2 linked regions of the Danio rerio genome follow. The protein of the gene in region 1 interacts with the protein of each later gene in a pairwise test. Links are inferred from orthologs where the notes say so. Each region holds a gene or a part of one and is shown on either strand. Other genes may lie near its edges.

Evidence for each region.
Region 2: the proteins of tfg (region 1) and pef1 interact in binary tests that used the Homo sapiens proteins (3 or more experiments, as listed by UniProt). The two-hybrid records come from large-scale screens. The link is inferred for Danio rerio from reciprocal best matches to the Homo sapiens genes TFG and PEF1.

The regions. Positions count from the first base shown.
Region 1 is NC_133184.1:31,782,421-31,791,683, forward strand, and holds the start of tfg (protein TFG), read left to right. Parts: upstream 1-4,475; 5' UTR 4,476-4,606; intron 4,607-6,754; 5' UTR 6,755-6,758; coding exon 6,759-6,942; intron 6,943-7,166; coding exon 7,167-7,250; intron 7,251-9,263. Other genes in the region: jagn1a (protein jagunal homolog 1-A), read left to right, coding at 2,002-2,090, 2,176-2,638. UniProt on the Homo sapiens protein: Plays a role in the normal dynamic function of the endoplasmic reticulum (ER) and its associated microtubules. Required for secretory cargo traffic from the endoplasmic reticulum to the Golgi apparatus.
Region 2 is NC_133194.1:39,705,978-39,717,486, forward strand, and holds the start of pef1 (peflin), read left to right. Parts: upstream 1-4,671; 5' UTR 4,672-4,690; coding exon 4,691-4,711; intron 4,712-6,510; coding exon 6,511-6,772; intron 6,773-11,509. Other genes in the region: gjb9b (gap junction protein beta 9b), read left to right, coding at 2,776-3,579. UniProt on the Homo sapiens protein: Calcium-binding protein that acts as an adapter that bridges unrelated proteins or stabilizes weak protein-protein complexes in response to calcium.

The sequences.
Region 1 (9,263 bases):
GAATGGGGCTCGGTAATGGACACTTTAAAGTCACGCAGCATTTACATAAACATTTAAACAATTCATAAACATATTAAATAATGACATTTTATATTAAATCTTGATTATTAAACTCAATTTTGTTTTGTTTTAATAATAACCTGTTATATTTAAAACCTCTTTTAGTTTTATATACTAAACTTTGCTTTTATTAATAACTATATTTTTATTCAGTGCCTTATTCGTTTTAAATGTAAAAAGTGTTAAACAAAAGTACTTATATCAGGTACAGAACAGCCTACAACATTAAAAACATCACCGGGTGGGCCATCGGTTTGCCAATGGTGTCCCGACGGCGGTCCACCCACGGTAATCCGCTGGCGGCGTGCCACCCAAAAAACGCCGGTGGGCCGACATAACTTTTAGAATGGGCGGCTTGCCGCCGGTGAGCTGACGGCGGTCCGCTCGTATCAAGCCGCTGAATTTGTGCCGACCAAAAAACGCCAACGGTCCGCCAACTCATTGTTTGCTGGGATCTTTCTAGTCACGTGACCGAATTAATATTAATAACCCAGGCAGGCATTACGCCAGATGTTACATTACATCCGCTTTCCACAGAATGGCCGTCGAGGACCTAATTAATATTCATGAGACAATCCCCCACATCCTGCTCAGTGCTCGGTGATGCTGAGGATGCGCAGAAAGAGATGCTGCTGTCAAATCAATGCGTGCGGAGGGGCGGAGAGATCCTTTACTGCCTATCTTGTGCGCATGATCAACATATTATTGCCTTTCATTGATAAAAAGCCTTTGTGTTAACATTTCCTCATCTTGGGTACTCGCTGGCGCTTTCGGATACGTTTTATCAAGATATACGGTAGGTTATATTGCCGATTTAAAGGCGCATTGCATGAAAAGTAGTTGTCGATGTGTACAGTGTCACGTCTTTTAATTACGTCTCTTGAACGGTGAGTTTAGTTTATCCCTCATCCGGAAACCGGCAGGCAAGATGTACCTATGTTTTTGAGTTGTCCAGAAAAAGGCATTATTGTGTTTCACTTTCGATGCTTATATATGAAAACGCAAAATTGGTCAACTTAGCTTATAGACTGCTACAGCTTTGTCTATACGCGGATATACTGGATTTAAAGATAAGGTAATTTAGATTTAGTAAATTTGTAATATTTGTTTCATTGTGGTAAAGGTCTGGTGAGAATTTTCTCCAATTAAAACATTAATTTAGATTTTTATAATTTTCCCTAAGTTAAAACATTGGTATTGTGTTGTCTGTTTGTCTGTCTATCTGTATTGAATCTTGAATCTGTTTGTCTATGAAATTCTCTATCTATCTATCTATCTATCTATCTATCTATCTATCTATCTATCTATCTATCTATCTATCTATCTATCTATCTATCTATCTATCTATCTATCTATATATATATATATATATATATATATATATATATATATATATATATATATATATATATATATACTGCTCAAGAAAATAAAGGGAACATTGTGTTGTTGAAGTGTTCCCTATTTTTTTTTTTTTTTTTGAGCAGTGTAAATACAATTACAATCATTTTCAAATGGTCACTCATTTTCTCAATAGCTGTAGTATCAATATCCAGTCTTTATCTTTCTGACTAATAAGACAAAGATAAATCATTAAGGTAATTATTTTTTTCATATTCACACTTTCACTCACTTTTGAACAGTGACAACTTGCGACACAGTCCTTATATTTACCACTTTACTTTGAATATTTGCATGTAAAGTACGACTTCAAACAACCTTAGCACTATTGAACTGACTCTGAACATGTTGCTCTTTGATAGCCATTGGCTGCTAATATGATTTCCCAATTTAGATTTTGCAAAGATTACTTTTCTGAAATTATAATATTAGGAAAAAAGTCCAAATGTGCAAAAATAAAATCAACTTTACATCAATTGTTAAATCTATCTATTTTTCTGCATATACTTGCATGGTGTTCCAGTCATCTGGATATTGGCAATGGCATCTCGTGCAGGGCCAAGAGCTGCAGGGACTGATGGCGGTGATTTCAAACACAGAGAGAAAGTGGCTTCTCATTATCAAATGAGGTAACTATATCATCAAACTATCCCTGCAATCTAACATGACCAATAACATTACCAATCTATCATCATCACCAATCCTGTCTTTCAGTGCTTCATCAAAATCTGAGATAAAGAAGCTCACCGTAGTGCATTTCCTCATATGGATACTGGTGGCAGCTCAAGTGGCTGTTAGTCACCTCAATTTGGTGTCTCATGACCTGGTGGCCATGCCCTATCAGTGGGAGTATCCATATCTTCTGAGTCTCGTGCCCTCGTTTATTGGAGCGCTGGCCATGCCGAAAAACAACATCAGCTACCTGGTGATCTCCATGATAAGTGCTGGATTGTTCTCTGTGGCACCCTTGATTTTTGGTGCGATGGAAATGTTTCCTCTGGCCCAGCAGCTGTACCGACATGGAAAAGCCTACAGGTTTATCTTCGGCTTCTCGGCTGTTTCTGTGATGTATCTACTCATGGTGATTGCAATTCAAGTGCATGCATGGCAGATCTACTACAGCAAGAAGCTTCTAGATGCCTGGTTCAACTCAACACTAGAGAAGAAGAAGAAATAAAAACATTTCTGAAATCATTCACCGCTATTTATGTCTCAGTTGCTACTGTATAATGCATGGAGTCATTTATAATGTTTTATAATAAAAAGCTGATCAGTTACATCTGAAATTTTCTTCTAAAAATAGACTTTCTCCAAGAAATCCTTGTGTAGGTTCAGTCATTTCATTTCTTGTCATTGCATTGTAAGTGAAATAACTGAACATACTGTACACACAGAATCTTGAGAAAATGTTGAATTTTAGGATAAGATGTAAGATGACACTTAGAGATTTTTGCATATACTCTTCATATATAACTGTAAGCCAGTTCATTTGATGTATTTTACATGTATTGTCGTATATTTCGTATATATGTTCACTTTGCAATATAAATGTTTTAAGATTTAATTTAAAACAAAACATTTTGTTACATTGCAAGTTGTTACCTCCGATTCAGAAGGTTTGCAGTCTACAGTGTGTTTATACAGAGCCATACAATTCATATGTTACACTTTATAAATAATAATAAAAAAATACTTTAGATATTTAATTGCAGTGAATTCATTCATTTTCTTTTTAGCTTAGTCCCTTTTTTCATCAGGGGTCGCCACAGCGGAATCAACCACCAACTTATCTAGCATATGTTTTATGTTTTCATCTCCCAGCAACAACCCATCACTGGGAAGCACAGTGTAGTTAATATTAAGTATTTCATTTAATTTCTTGATGTTTCTAATTTAACAGAGTGTCAGGCTTCTCTGTGTAGTTTTAGCGCTCATTATCTGCAGAAATGTATTTTTCCTTTATTATTATCATAGTAAACAGCTTGAATGTGATTCTTTTTTTGAATGCAGGTTCAACATCCAGAGGAAAGAGTTTTGAAAATTTCACTGGTTTCATGTTTTTTTTTTTTTTTTTTTAACTTGTTTAAAATGTCTAGTGGAAAAGCGGTTGGCAGTCATTATAAAGATCAAGGAAAACAGGCCTGATATTAAAGTTTTTACTTGTCCAAATATAATTTGTAATGCAAACTGAACTGATAATTTTACAAAGCCTAATATATTATTATTAACTGAATAAGAGCCTATTATTTTGGCATACTGGGAGTGAAATAGCCATAGTCAAATGTACTACATTCACAACAATTAATTATGTGGCTTTATAAGACAGATTCAAACTGGGGCCTGGGTCTATTCAGGGCACGGCAAAATATTCATTCATTCATTATTTTCTTTTTGGCTTAGTCCCTTTATTAATCTGGGGTCACCACAGCAGAATGAACCACCAACTTATCCAGCACTTGTTTTACACAGCAGATGCCCTTCCAGCCGCAACCCCTCTCTGGGAAACATCCATATACTCATTCACACTCATACACTACGGACAATTTAGCCTACCTAGAGAACTCCACACAGAAACTCCAACTGGACCAGCCGAGGCTTGAGCCAGCGACCTTCTTGCTGTGAGGCGACAGCAATAATACAATTTAAGTTATATACACACACACACACACACACACAATTTATATATTTAAATTTATTAAAAAACACATATAAAATAATAATAATTTAAAATAATAATTTACTTAGAAAGATGTTCAAATAAAAATAGTATTCTGATGATAAGAAAATAATTATTAGAATGTAATATGCAAGTATGGGCCTGATAAGATTCTGTTGGTATCATAACCTTAGATAAAAATATCTTAATTAAAAAAAAATAATCTTTTATATACCATAGGAAAAGTATAACAAAGAAGTTATAAAAATTCAGTAGTAAAATAAAATCCATTCAGGATACAGACCACCTTATCGGTAGTAATTAAATTTACAAAACAAGTGAGCAGTGTCTGGATAGCGCGCATGCGCGTTTGTGGTTTTGCCACGTACAGGTCGCTGTGAGGCGTTTCCGATCAGTCAGTCAGGCATCGTTCAGCTGAAGTCCAGGACACACAGGCTACTGCTGGGATTGACACGTCCAAAACACCAGGTACAGGCGCAGGCTTTTCGTATAAACATTTACATATTCTTATACAACAACTTTAGAGGTTTTTTGGGCACCTCTGGAAATGAACCCTTAGTATTTAGCCGGTTGTCAAGCAAACTAGCATTAGCTTAGCTTAGCCTGTGTGAAACTAGGGCAAGCTAAAAACAAGAAAGACGTTTTGTTCAGCGTTTTAAACCACAGTATGGCGTAGTTAAATAGTCGTACTCAAACCACGGAAATAGTAGCTGTTACAATATATTGAGATTTATTTTTTCTTTTGACGCCGGGAGAATTGTTACCCTCAGACCTTTATTTGGCAGGAAGTTGCTGCATCATCAGGTGAATGAGGCCTGATGGGATGTTTTAAATGGATCACGCTTTGGCAAGACTTTTAAACGTCACCCAGCTGCGATGATGGAAAATGGCCCGATGTGGGAAATTATCAACAAAAAAAAACCAACAAAAAAACTCATGCTTTAATAACCTGATTGAAATTACTAAAATGGCTAAAGTGACGCTGTTATTTTCATCTGTGTCTGCCCTGTTTAACGTGTCCACCCATGAGAAACTCCCCATATCCATGACAAAATCGTACAAAATGTTATAACAGCTAATGCCACATCTTTAAGACATGTAATCCTGAATAAATCAGCCTTTGAACAGTTTGCCAAGCAGCCAGTTGTATGGCATTTTTCCTAATCCAGCAGGCAGAATGAGTTTCAGTCAGTAGTTATCACTGAATACCATGTGAGTTAAATACAGGTCTGTCCACATGCTGCTGTGAACATTGCTAGTTTGAATAAATCAGAGAGTAAGATCAAAGTAAGAAAGTCGAGACTGTCCTGATAAGATTGCTTCAGTTGATCAAATCATTTAAAATGAAATCTAAAACCTGAAATGTTTTACCGTTTTTTTCTTAGGCCAAAGTCTGTGTTAGGAAAGATTCATGGTCCTCAACATGTGCCAAATCATCTTCTATCTCGTGACCCTTAGACTTTTAGGAAGTTGTAGTATGTCCCAGTAAACTAATATATCTGTACAGTAGCACTTGTTCAGATAAAACCTAATATTTGAGTCATATGGCTGTGGGTTTTGGAGTACGACAATGTTTTTATATACATAACAAAAGCTTGAGAGTCGGTGGTGAGTGCAGACACTCATTGGGTTACGGCTCTCGGATTTTATGGTGAACTGTTGTGTTGCGAGTGGAAATGTGTGGTTCTGTTAGAGGAACATAATGAGTGTGTTGTCGGTTTTATGAGTTTGTGCATGAAGACCTTTAATTCAGTGCTGCAGCTCTGATGGTGTGTTTGGTCTCAGCTTGGTGATGTACTATCAGATGACGTCTGATGTGCATGTGATGCATTATATATTGATAAATGACCTCTTTTTTTTAATAAACTGGATAATTGTACGAGTGATAGTATATGACCTGGCATAAAATTTTTTAGATCTTTCTCACAAGCACTGTGCGATGTCTGACAGACCGCACTAATGTCTTTCTTTTATTTTTCATTCTATTAAAACCTGTTTTAATGCATTTTAATCTGTTTTATTTGTTTTAAATCATTTTTATTTTTTGTTTTTATTTTCTTATACTTGTCTCTCTTATTCCTGTTTATGTATAGTACTTTGAATTACCATTGTGTATGAAATGGGCTATACAAATAAATTGCCTTGCCTTACTCTGGTACAGCCTTGTCAATAGAGTAAGCAAATAGTAAACCATTTTTGTTGTTGTTTGTGTATCATTTTGAGCCATATTTAAGTGTTTTGTTGAGTTAAATTTAAGCAGTTTAGTATGCAGTAGTGTATGTCTCATTTGCTACTGTATTGCTTTGGATAAACCATACTGTTTTAACAAGAATAGCATATTTGACAACATATTACTATAATTTGTTCGATCAAATCTGATGGCAACCTTGTCAAATAGTGGCTTAACATTTTAAAACCTTTATTTTTTGCATCTCTAATATTTTTTTTTACTAATAGATTAAGGTTTTTGTTTAATTTCACAAATTTTCTTTCTCATTTATTATTGTATTCAATTAAATTATATTAAATACTGTGCTTTTTAGCTATCAGAACCGAATTGATGAATCACGCATATTTTTCCCCTATGTAGTATTTACAGTACAGTTTTATTTTCAGCAGTATGAATGGACAGCTGGACCTGAGTGGGAAGCTGATCATCAAAGCTCAGCTGGGTGATGATATTCGCCGTATTCCTATCCACAATGAAGACATCACCTACGACGAGCTCCTGCTGATGATGCAGAGAGTTTTTCGTGGCCAGTTACAGAGCAGCGATGAAGTCACCATCAAATACAAGGACGAAGGTCAGATTTAGGCTTCAGAAAGTTACAACTTAACTTTTTTAGTAATTTCACACTATTCAAATAGTTACTCGGTTTTTTTAATAGCAATGAAGCAAAAAACATATAGGAGCTATACACATATCGAAATCCCTCAGTAGTATCACTGTCTAGATGTCCACCTGCAAATAACGATTTCATTCTCTGCTACCTTTTTCATCATTCATCTTTGTCTTTTTTTCTTCCAGATGACGACCTTATCACCATCTTTGACAGTTCTGATTTGTCTTTTGCGATCCAGTGCAGTAGAATATTGAAGCTCACTCTTTTTGGTAAGAAACCAGCAATGCTTGGGGATTTTTGCATATCTTAATATATTGGATTATATAAAAACGTTTGCAGTAATACACTTACAGTGGAATATATGGGCATATGATGGAATTGCATACCAGCCGTGTTTTGAACATAAAAAAAATAAATGTGGTTGTTTTCATTAGGTATTGCCTTGAAACAGCATGTGAAGAATGTGATGTAACTGTTTACACATACAGAATACAAGCAAAAACACACCAAGGGTGCACATCCAGTAGACAAAAAGCTAAAAGAAATCAAAATAGGTACACCACAGCTCCAAAAATAGCGAAATATTTATAATTTTCTCACAACAGGTAACATTGTGACACTCTTTATAATATATACAGAATTCAAACACCCAGTTGTTTCACATAACCAGAAGTTAATTGGGGTAAAATGTAATTCCAACATAAAAAAACAATCTAGAAAAGCTTTACAGGTCATCATTGTTTTTGTGCTTTTTAATCTTAAATGTGTCGCTTGTATTTTTTTGTTTAACCTTTCTATGAAGTCTTTGATTGTAGCTTTATTTATTATTGTAAATGTGTTATTTATTTCTACAATCTAAGGCTTATTTTCTGTTGTAAATGACAACAGGCCACTGATACAGGCTCAACAACAACAGATCTCATTAATATTAATCATTCTCAGAGTTAAGGTCAGTGAGCATGTGTAGGTTTTTCTTACCTGCAGTGAGATCAGATTCCAAAAACGCTCCAGTGTCATGCTGTCTCTTGAAAGAATAATCAAAATGGCGTACTGCACTATAAGGACAACATTAATATGCAGCTCACATTGTTTTTAATACTCTTTAGAAGAACTTTATGAGAATAGAATAAAACCAGAATATTAAATTTAAAGCTTGTATCTTTGTGACCCAAAAAACACAGAGTTTTATACTGAGCAGTAACCTTTGGGTTAAAATGGACTCTCTGTTAAGCACATAATCCTACATCAGCATGGGTGGTGTAATATTGCGGACTTAAGCTTTTAATCTTAAAAATGTTGAACTTGGTAATATTACATCCAACCAGGAGATGTCGTTTTTCTCTTTCAAGGAAACAGCTATAGAGGGTGTCCAGCAGAGGGTGCAATAAAACCAGATGTGATCTGATAGCGAGTCGATGTCAAGCCTTTTGAGCTTATCAGCTGCGTTCAAATAGGGATTGAGGAGGCAGTTGGACCTAAAGTTTAGGTGATGGACCCTTTAAATCGCACTTTAGTGTAGAAATACCTGTAGAGCAAGAAATAGTTTAACGTACATTTTTTTTTTACATCCATTACAGATGTTAACTGATTTAATGCAGTGTTAATAAACATTCAGTATTACTCCTATTCTTTAAGAACAAGCCTGTGACTAGTGGATTCTTTAACATGGGTGGTTTGCAACACGGGGCCTAGGAGGTTTTTGGGGTTCTTAAGATGACTTTTTAAAACCACTAATAAAATTTGTATGTTAATAATCCCCTTCAACAGCAGTTTGTTTTCCTATGGTTTTAGACAATCTGTATATTAAGAAGGTTAATTTTAAAGGTGAGATTTCTAGGCCTGCGTAATGTATAAATAATGTGTGTGTAATATGTTTATATTTTTTTACAGTGCTCAGCAAAAATGAGTACACCCCTAAAAATGAACATTTATCAATTTGTTAGTAAAAATAGCCAATAATTAGCCAATAATTTTTGCTTCATTTAAACCATAGTTTTATTAAACAGTTATATCCATTAAAATTAGAGATTGGTCGCCTAACATCTTTAGAAGTAAAAATGTAATACATTTAAAATCAAATAAGTTATTGCAACAGAAAAAAATACAAAAACAACACTTAAACAAAATTGGACATTTTTATGTTTCTCTTGATTTTTCATGTTTTATTAATTTTATTTACTACACATTAATGTGGGTGTACTAATTGCATTTTTATACCTTATGTGTGTGTGTGTGTGTACATACATACATATATATATATATATATATATATATATATATAT
Region 2 (11,509 bases), on another chromosome or scaffold:
GAGCTTTTGTTTCCAGTTTGTTGCATTTGCTTGCATATGGATGGAAGTCTATGGGGCGAAAAGTGCAGTGTTTCCGCGGCTTTACTCTTCAGAGAGATTGGTTATTGGCGATTCTCGATCAGTTCTTTTAAGGACACAACGTCTCCATTCCCTCCCTCGGGGAACGTGGGTTACAGTCTTAACCAGGATGTTGTATCGTTTTTTTTGTTTTGTTTTTTTTTTTAAATGGCACATACATAAAATATTCCACCCATTCATGGAATGTTGTTTTTAGCCTGGTTTATAAATATTGTACAGACACTTTCAGTTTGACTGCAATTGCTTTGAACATTTTGAACTTTTAAAACTTTTAAAACTTTTAATATTATCCTGCTTATTATCTTTAAACTACAGTATTTTATGTGACAACATAAAAAAGAATAAAAAACTGTCTTCATGATTCGTTAAAAATGGGATGTCAAATTTTCAGTTATAAAAGATTGATAAGAATATATACTGTAGCTTTACAAGAATTTAGTTCTCACCGCAATATAAGATTATGTCTTTGTATATAAAACAATGTTTTTTTAATGCTAGCACTCCTCATACAGTGCAGTACAGTAGTCAGCAAAACACACACACACACACCCATATAAACACACACACACCTACAGCACCTACAGTATATAAACAAAGAATTGCCATCCCATGAAGGTTTGCTTAGCTTTAAACAACCTTTATGTAATGCCCCTGGCAATGGGCGTTATAAAAAAACTGATTACCATAGTAAATACCCCACAGCTGAGTGGAAGCAGAAGTTAGACAGTTTTATTTTTGTTTTGATTCATTAGATTTCATTTCATCTAAACTCAGGTGATTGTCATAGATAGAATCAGACACTTTCCACCAATCAGGTCTTTCTTGATTGTCAGCCAAAGGAAAAGCTATTGCTCTTCCTCACAACAGCCGAAATCCCAAAAGGTAAGGACATATCGCTTGGATTTCTTCAAAATAAAGTTTATAAAAATAGTTTATATACAAATCAGCTAGCACTGTAGATACTGTATTGTTTCAGTATGTACAGTATTATTTTGACCGTTAACAAACATAATTGGATATGCTAATTTGATTGGGGCATTTTGTACAGTTTCTCATAAAGCTAAATTAGAGCCCATTGTTATGCTTTGGATTCACAAATCTAAAATCTAAATAACACTAATAGTTAGCTTCTTGTACTTTTAATTACGGTTTGTGTCAAACTAATGACAGGTTACAGCATACTAATTATGTGACCTAGTTAGTTGTCAATGCAAATGCTATTTCTACTGAAAACTAACAAGAACACATTTAATACTATGGTAAAAGATATGCAGATCTAAATTGGTAAACAATAAAAATTAACAATACTATCCTTAACTACATATGTTGACTTGTTTTCGTTCAAATGTGTTGATTGCTTTGTGAACAAAAGGGGGAAAGAATCAAACGAAAGCCGCCAAAAATGGATCATTGCTGCCTTTAGAAATAATTTAACTGCATGTTGCAACCTGTTGACATTACATGCTTGAAAGGTGACACCATCAATATCTTTCCTCAATTTTTTTCTTCTTTAATTTTTTGGGGAACAAATTGTCTTTAAAAATTAAAGAAAGGAAAAAAACTGATTGAATTCAGAGGTTACGGAAAACACTTGTTTTCTTTAGCTTTTAATCATGTGTTGTGAGTAATAAGTGTATTTTGGCTTCTTGCATGTTTGCATGTATTGTGTGTTTTTATGTACAGCACTTTGGTACCCATTGTGGTTGGTTGAAATTGCTCTAAAAATAAATTGAGTTGAGTTGAGAGTTGAATTAATCATTGAAAAGCAGAACAACAGTGTTGCTCAAAGGCCATTCTGTTGAGAACAATAGAATACTCAATGTGAAACTGAAAGTATTTAGATTTCAGAAAGTTGATTTCGGGACAGTATGGGTCATAATAGTATTAAAAATGACAAAATAAATAAATATATAAATATTTAATGCATAAATAAATACAAAAGGTGTACTTTTTAAAAGTATGAATAAAACCTGATTACATGTGTGTGTCTGTGTGTGAATTAAGTAAATAAATAAATAAAAATATTAAAAAGTATTATGTACAGTACAGCTAGGTTAAAAATCTTGTCCAATATACATTAAATAAATATTTATAAATAAAAGTATTACTAAAATTGTAAAGGTTTAAATCATTTTAAATAACACGGGTCTTAAAAAAAAGGAACATTGCAATGCTCATAATGAAAAAAATATGGATATTAATTCAACAGTATTATTAAATTATTATTGTTTTCAAAAATCATCTACAGTATATTTTATTCATAAAATAGATTCAGCATGTTATTATGAATAAATATACCTGTATGACCAAATATACTCATATTTCCTTTTCATTTAGGGATAAAAATAATTTTGAAAGTATCAAACTGTTTTAATAAATATTGTTGTGATCTTGATGTCATTCATGCTGCTAAGATGTTTAATGTTTAGATCAACATTTAACTAAAACTACAGCAGTTTTAAAATCCCAGCACTATCTTCATGTTAGCCTGACTTTGTTTACAATTTGAGCTTGAAGTATATTGAAGCCTTAAGTTGACCTATTAGATGAAGAAGGCAAAGGAACTCTAAATGTACTAAAAGAGAAAAAAAGCAAGTACTATTTTAATGTAAATAAAAACAAATTTGCTTGTTTATGTATTTATTTTGTAGGGCTAATATCCTGGAATGAGTAAGACGCTTGTTTGCAGCATCAGACATGAACTGGTTGTCCCTAGAAGTCCTGCTTGGCGGGGTTAGCCAATACTCCACTGTGTTTGGCCGTGTCTATCTCTCCGTGGTGTTCATCTTCCGAATCCTGGTGTTTGTGGTGTCTGTCCAGCAAGTCTGGAACGACGAACAGAAAGACTTCATCTGCAACACGGCCCAGCCAGGCTGCACCAATGTCTGCTACGACCAGTTCTTCCCCATATCCCACATCCGTCTATGGGCTCTCCAGCTTATTTTCGTCACTTGTCCATCTCTCATGGTGGTCGCTCACGTCAAATATCGACAAATGAAGAATGTGAAGTACAACACTGCCCGCAATGGTGAAAACATGTATGCAAACCCAGGAAGAAAGCGTGGAGGCCTGTGGTACACCTATATCCTCAGCCTGTTATTCAAAGCCGGCTTTGATGCAGCATTCTTGTATATTTTGTACTACCTTTATAAATTCGACATGCCAAATGTTACCAAATGCACTGCGGAACCTTGTCCAAATACAGTGGACTGCTATATCTCCCGTCCCACAGAGAAGAAAATCTTCACTCTTTTTATGGTGGTCTCCTCCTCTGTGTGCATCTTCATGTGTATCTGTGAGATGGTGTATCTGATTACAAAGAAAGCTGGCAAATTTCTGCACAAAAAGAGTGAGGAGAATAGAAACTACATAAGCAGAAGGGTGGATCCGACGGCCATGTCCAACCAGAATCTCAACAATCTTAAAATGGCACAGGCTGCAGAAGAACTAAAAAATTCTGAGATGATCCATTCCGAGTTGAACAAATTATATGAACGCTGACTTTGTAATGAATTATAATAGTAGACACAATGAACTTGAATAATAATGTAGATAATATGATTAATGCATACACTAAATGGGATATTTGCACTTTAAAGTAACTAATATATGTCTTTTTTGTATACAGTATGTTATAATTGTGATGAAATTGGAAGGTCATCTTGTGTCTCATTTACTCATTTAAGATGTACACTGCCACCTAGTGTACTTATCCAAGTGTAGGATTGTTCACAAAACACTGATAGCATACAGCACTTAAACCCTTGAAAAAGGTACTGTATTAACTGTGGACACATTAATGCCTTCCTTATTTTCTAAAATAGCTGTGTTTGTACTATATAATGTAATAGTCTGTGTAAGTTAGTGCACTGTGTATTCATATTGTTTACAGGAATCATGCTGTGAAATATACCAAATGTGGCAGGGTATATTTTGAACACGACTCATTAGATTTGAATATTATTAATGCTATTTAATAAACTACTTAATGCGATGATGATGATTATTATAGAATTTAATTTGGTAACACTTTATTTTGATGGTCCATTTGAGTATTAGTGCTGTCTGCTTAATATCTCCTTCAACAGACGTTTAACTGACTATAAGAAACTTTGCAAGTACATGTCAACTTACACTAACCCCAAACCTAACCCCTACTAATAGTAACAGTCTACTTATAATCTAATAAGAATTAGTTTGCATGTAGATGCAATGTAACTTAAATTCAACAAACGGATCGTCAAAATAAGGTTAGATCTTATCATCTAATGACAATGTCAAGTCAAGTCAGGACAAATCTTTAGTCACAGGGCTCTGTGTAAAAACCTTATTTGATGAACTTTCATTTCAAGTTCCATAAAAAATGTTAACTCTTACCTTACATATTATATCTATCCTCCTTTATAAACATGGTAACTACAACAAAACGTGTCTTTACGTACATAGCGTGACTCACAGTGTAAGCTATGAGCAATTTTCCATTGCTTTAACCAATCAGATTGAAATATGAGGCTTTTCCGTTGACAAACGTGAAAACGCACCAATCAGCGTTAAGAGGCGGGTCTTGTTAAATAAACCCCAGTCGCTCCATTTGCTAAAGATTTTTCGCGGAATGAGTTATCAATACGGACAGGTAAAGTTTGTCTTCCGGGTTTAACTATTTGACATTAATATATGTGTGTTTTATGTTTATGTGGGTGTCTGGTTTGTGTCTTAGAATCTGAACTTAATGTATAGTGAAATTATGCTTAATTACTCGCACAATCGCGTAAATATTTGTAGAAACAGGCTTTTAGGCTAATCAGTTAGCCCTGTTGCTACTGTGATGTACAATGTGATGACAAGTACAATGCCTTGGTTTTTGTTTGAACAAATCAGTTAATCGCGTGCCTTTCAGTAGTTTTAACGTTAGTGAACATACGCATCTTTTTAGTTAATGTCATATGACCAAGATTAACAATAGAAATGTCTCTCTTGAATCTAGCCGTGGTGTTCTTTCCCCTCATCCGTCAGTAAACCGTATTTCACATGTATTCCAGGGTCTATAATCACAGTATAACAACGTGAGTGTACCAGTATAACTTCGTGTATTAATGTTGCCACTTTTCATCCGCAAAACACAAGAGAGGATGCTAGACAGTCACCTTCATTGTATGGAAAAAATGCAGTGACGTGAATGGATTAAATATGTAAATATGTGCTCTCGTGTTATTCCTCGGAATTGGAATATCAATATCTGTTTCTGTTTACTGCTGTACTGACAATTATAATTGAGGTAAAGTTGGTTTTACATTCGCACATTCACTTTCACTTTCTTAACATAATTTCAGAAAAGTATTCTTTGCTAATTCAAAATAGGGAAATCACATTAGCACCCAATAACTATCAAAGTACAACATTGTTCAGTCAGTTAAATAGTGATTATATTGATTTGAAGCCATTCTTATGTGTGATTACAGACCCAATATTCAACGTAGAATGGTAAACTATTTAGGGACCATGTCTCTGTCAGAAGTTAGTGTGAAACATTAATGTATGTCATTACAATTAACCTGTATTAGGCATTTTAAATCCTTCTCTTGTATTTTATTGAACACCAAAGTCTGAATGTGTGAATATAAAACTAACTTAACTTTAATACAATTATATAACTGCCAGCATTGAGGCAAAATTGTTTTATATTCGCAAATGTGGTACCAAATATAATTTCAGAAAATTATTCTTTGGAAATTCTTAATAGGGAAATCATACTTGCAGCCAATTTCTATCAAAGTACAACACTGTTCAGTCAATTAAATAGTGCTTATGTTGTTTTGAATACATTCTTGCTTGTAATTTAAAACCCAATATTCAATGTAGCGTGGTAAACAGTTTAGGGACAGTGTCACAAGTTGTGCTCAAAAAAGTATGCCGTTATAATTAATCAGTATTAGCCTTTTTACATTCTGCTTTAGTATTTTATTGAACACCAAAGTCAGAATATGTAAATATAAAACCAATTTAACCTCAATACAATAGCATAATATTAACATTTGAAATATTTTTATTATTAATTATTCTTTGATATTGCATTTGTATTTGTTATAGACCACAACTGACAACAGTTTTGAGGTAAAGTTGGTTTTATATTCGCAAATGTGGTACCAAATATCATTTCAGAAAATTATTTTTTGGAAATTCAAAATAAGGGAAATCATATTAGCAGCCAATCATTATCAAAGTACACAATGTTCAGTCAATTAAATAGTGCTTATGTTGTTTTGAAGACGTTCTTGTTTGTAATTTAGGACCCAATATTCAAAGTAGCATGTCACAAATTGTCATTGGTCAAAAATGAACGAATGTGCGAATATAAAACCCACTTTACCCCAATGACAAGCATTTCATTTCAGCTAGTTAATATCGTATGCTTTTCTTTACTTGTTTCCAAAGGGTTATTCGGGACCAGGGGGTAATGCTCCCCAGTGGCAGCAGCCTCCAAGGGCACCATATGCAGGTGGTCCTGCTGCTGGACAGTATGGTTCACCTTATGGCAGTGCCCCTCCAGGGCAACAGTATGGAGGAGGGTCTCCATATGGATCTTATGGTCAACCTGGTCCAAGAGCACCATACGGAGGGGGTCAAGCTCCAGGGGGTCCATACGGAGGTTATGGACAACCTCAAGGAGGACCATACCGTCAGCAGGGATCAGCAGGTTAGACATGTGTAACTCTACTGTGTTTTAGTTGGGCTAAGTATTATATAGGTATCATATATATATACTACTAAATTATTCCTGTTTGCATATTTGTGTGGTTCCATTGGCCCTAAAAAATATTCTTAAGCTAAACTTGAATTGATGATATAAAATATAATTAAGCGTTTAAAATGCAAACAATGTGCATGGCTTGCATTATGATCATTGTATTTTTATTAATATGTCAACAGTAGTCAACATTTAAAATTAAAAAATAAAAAGTATCAAAGTTGCCCTAAAACTACTGGACAATATCCACTCTTGACTTAGGACAGTATTGAAATATTCATTTGGCCCACTTTTAATGTAGACTACTGTATTTAGCATTACCCGGTATAGACGATTGAAACAAAAGCATTGTAAGATCTGTAGGTAAAAACTCAATATTTTCAGCAGAACTTTTAAAGTGAATTGATATAAATAAAAACACATATTCATCTTGCTAACCTGCCTTTGAAAAGTAAATGATCACGTAACAGAATGCAAAATCCAATAAAAAGCTGAATATGAACTTGTGAAAAGGTTGTTATATTTGTAAGAATATTTAAGAGTATTCATTCATACCGTTTGTACTCAAAATCAGTAGAAAATTATGCTCTTGTCCTTTATAGCCAGTAGAATAACAAAACATTGAGCAAAGCTATAACAAAGTCTACACAACACAGCATTTTATTTTAAGTCAAAATACCACCTCACTCTGTTTTCTATGCAAGTTTTTCTGAAACTGCCATGAGTCATCACTCAAGCAATGAGAAAATGAAACAGGTTAATCAAAGGGGTAAAATAAAATATAGTTTTGTGCTCCAATAATACACTTTTTAGACTAATTTCTTGTCTATGAAGGGACAATAATCTTAATAATCAAACATGCATAATCTGACACAGTGACCATTGTAACAGACACAAACAGTGTAGTTTTAAACCTGGAAAAAAGCTTTTAAGTGTCTTTTAACAGCCACAACCTTTAGAAATGTAATCTATATTATTTTAATTTAGAATCTTTTAATTAATACATTTAACTCCTATTTCAAATCAAATCACTTTTATTGTCACATCATCAGCCACACACGTACTATGATGAGTGAAAAGCTTAGGTGCTGGCTCTAAAATACAGACAATGCAAAATACAACAACATACTCCAAAAAACAATACAATATGCATTATTTTAAATTATACAATATATTTATATAGTATACAATATATTTATCTACAAAATATTTTTACAACATACATTATTAAAACAATATACAACATTTTACTTGCAATAATGAATAGATTATCCAAAAATGAAAATTGTCATCATTTAATCACATTACTTGATTTGTTCCATACCACTTTTGAGGTTTTTTTTTTTCGTCTTCTTTTTTTTTTAGCACAAAACAAGATATATGGAAGAATGTTTGAAACATGTAACCATTGGCTTCCATAGTGAGAAAAATGGTCACACTTTACAATAAGGTTTCATTAGTTAATGTTCTTACTAACATAAACTAATAATGAAGAGTACTTGTGCAGCATTTATTAATCATAGTTCAGCATTTCCTAATGCATTATTAACGTATAATGTGTATTTACATCCAAATCCATGCTTGTTAACATGAAAGCACTGTGAGTTAATATGAACTAACAATGAATAATTGCACAAATCCCCTTACTGTAAAACACATTTTATTGCACTGTCCTACTTTAATGATAAGGCTTTTTTATGAAATTAACTTTCTTAAGGACATTTTTAACAAAGTGACACCTGGATCAATTTTAGACTTTTTATCATGTATTAACGCTAAAAATCGTATTTAATTTATGTATTTATGTGTTTGCTGGTTTTTATTGTTTATTAATTATTGAGATTTTCTTGCCATGAAAATAGCTTTTGTTGCTGACATGCCATTAAATAAAAATTTCATTACACTACATTAACTTTATTTCCTTTAACTAACCTTAAAAATGGGATTAAATATCGTAATTAATGCATTGTTTGTTTTTTGTTCGCGTTAGTAAATACATCAACTAACATTAATTAATACAGCCTTATTGTAAAGTGTAACTAGAAAAACAAATACTATGGGAATTAATGGTTATTAGTTGTCAACGTTATTTAATATATCTTTTTTTGTGTTGACTTGAAAGAAAGAAAAAAAAAAAAAAAAAAAAAAAAATATATATATATATATATATATATATATGTGTATATATATATGTGTATATATATATATATATATATATATATATATATATATATATATATATATATATATATATATATATAATTTTTTTTTATTTTATTTTTATTTTTTTACTGGTTTGGAACAAATAAATAGTGTGCAAATGATGACATCAATTTAATATGTAAACTATCCCTTTTATTATACAATAAACATTCCTAAATAGGATCTGATAGGAATATATACTAGGAATGTGGTTTGCAATCTATCACTTTTAACCGAATGTTTTCCACAGCTTCATACATCTGCAAATGCAGCGTAATAGATGTTGCTCCAGCTTGTGAATTTTTCAGCGTGGTCTCAGGAGTGGTCGGCAGCAGCTCTAGGCTGCTTTGACTGATGATGTCTGAGTGTCAGGGTTGGCAGCTAAGACACCGCGAGCCGCTGCTGTTCCATCAGGCATGCAGTGGCCGAGGGCTGTGAATAAAAGACGAAAGATCGGAATTTATGAAGGCGCTGCAGACAAGGTCCTTGATCCTCCTGCTCTGCAGCTGTGTCATATGCCCCTCACAAATGACTGATGCTGATACACCACAGGATGGCACAAGCATCTTGTACTGATCTGGTACAGAACGTGCCCAGGGGAGAATTAGAGTGATGAGTGTGGTAATAATTCCGAGAGAAAAGGTTCGTGCGGTTGTCTCTGCCTGCGTTTAAGTCCATAAGTATTCTATAATGTCCTGTGGGAATGGCTGTCAGATTCGAAGACTGTCCTCTGAACAGTGCTTATTCCTCCCGAGGGATACAGTGACCGTCTGCGCTTCACCAAATTGCACAACTTATTCTTGTCCCTCTTGGGACCGAGACGACATATCACTGACAGCATAGGCTTGCTCATGTTCAACCCATTTCCAATGTTTTTTTTTTTTTTTTCTCAAACATGACCTGTAGGACTGCTTGTCCTCATCATCATTCTGCTCATTTTTCAAAGTAATGAACAATTTCTTTTGCACATTTATGCATATGCTGTATCTTAAACAGCTCTATTCAATACATAAGAGATGTCATGTGAGTATAAATGAGCTAATTTAGTTTCTGCTGTATACACTAGGGTTATTTTTAATTTCAAACTAATGTTCTGTCTGTCATTTATAATTTGTTTTTGTTTAGTTTGTTGAAATATAGTAGTTTAGTATTTAAATTAATAACTAAAACTAAAAATACCTATATAAAATAATTAACTATATAGACATATTCAACCAAAATGTAAATAAAAAGAATATATATATATATATATATATATATATATATATATATATATATATATATATATATATATATATATATATATATATATATATATATATATATATATATATATATATATATATATATATATATATATATAAGACTACAATATATTTTTTCAAATTTAAATTTAAATGCAGACTAGTTAATTCAAATAAATATTAAAATAGTACTATGTTAAACTAACACTGTCGTACACTAATGTGCTTCAGTTCAAAACACCTGAAAGTCCCCTCAAATTCAAACAATTAAAATATAAATGAATATTAATCAAATTAATAATTATCATTTCAAACCACTCTTTCTTTTTCTTTCTTTCTTTCTTTCTTTGTTTCTTTCTTTCTTTCTTTCTTTCTTTCTTTCTTTCTTTCTTTCTTTCTTTCTTTCTTAACTTATTCCAACTCCAACTCCGACTTATTATAAATATTTAAAAAAGGGGTAAAATAATTGCCCTTTAGGTTAAACTGTCTATAAACTAAAAAATATTAGGTATATCCCAAATCGCATGCTAATGCAGTTCTGTACCATTTTGTAGTATAATAGTGTAAGTAGTGCATTCACACTGTAAACTTTAAAAATAATAGGTGTACTTTAAATTCACAGATGATGTACCATTAAAATGAAGTGTGAAATACTCAAAGACCACTGCTTTGCTTATGTAGTGAAAGTGGTGGAGCTTATATATTTTGGATTGAGAGATCTAGATTCTCCTACAAGAGTGATTATACCACATCCTGATGGTGAATGCAGCTATACTCATGGCAGGTATTATTTGGTAGTTTGGTCATTTTTTTCACAAATTTGGCAACTGTCAAACGTCATCAGGAAAACTGTTTATATTTCCGCTTAGCAAAAGCCATTAGTGTTTCATTTGAGACGAAACTACTTGCATATACTATGCTTTTGAGTGCGTAAGTGCATAGTGTGCCATTTGGGGCGCATTTAATGATTCTTGAAGTAATAAAGTATCAGTAGTAGTATGTTAATATTCTAAAATGAAAGAAAATGGTTTCATTAATTCAATTTAAAAGTTTTGAATGGACTAATTTAAATTAATATATAAAAATGAGTCAGACTCACTAATGTAGTCCTGTTTTGGTTTCATAAATTCAATTTAAAATTTGTGAACTAACTAATTTGCCCTAAATTAATGAATAAAAATGAATCAGACTTACTAATGTATTCCTTTTTTGGTTTTATTAATTCAATTTAAAAGTTTTG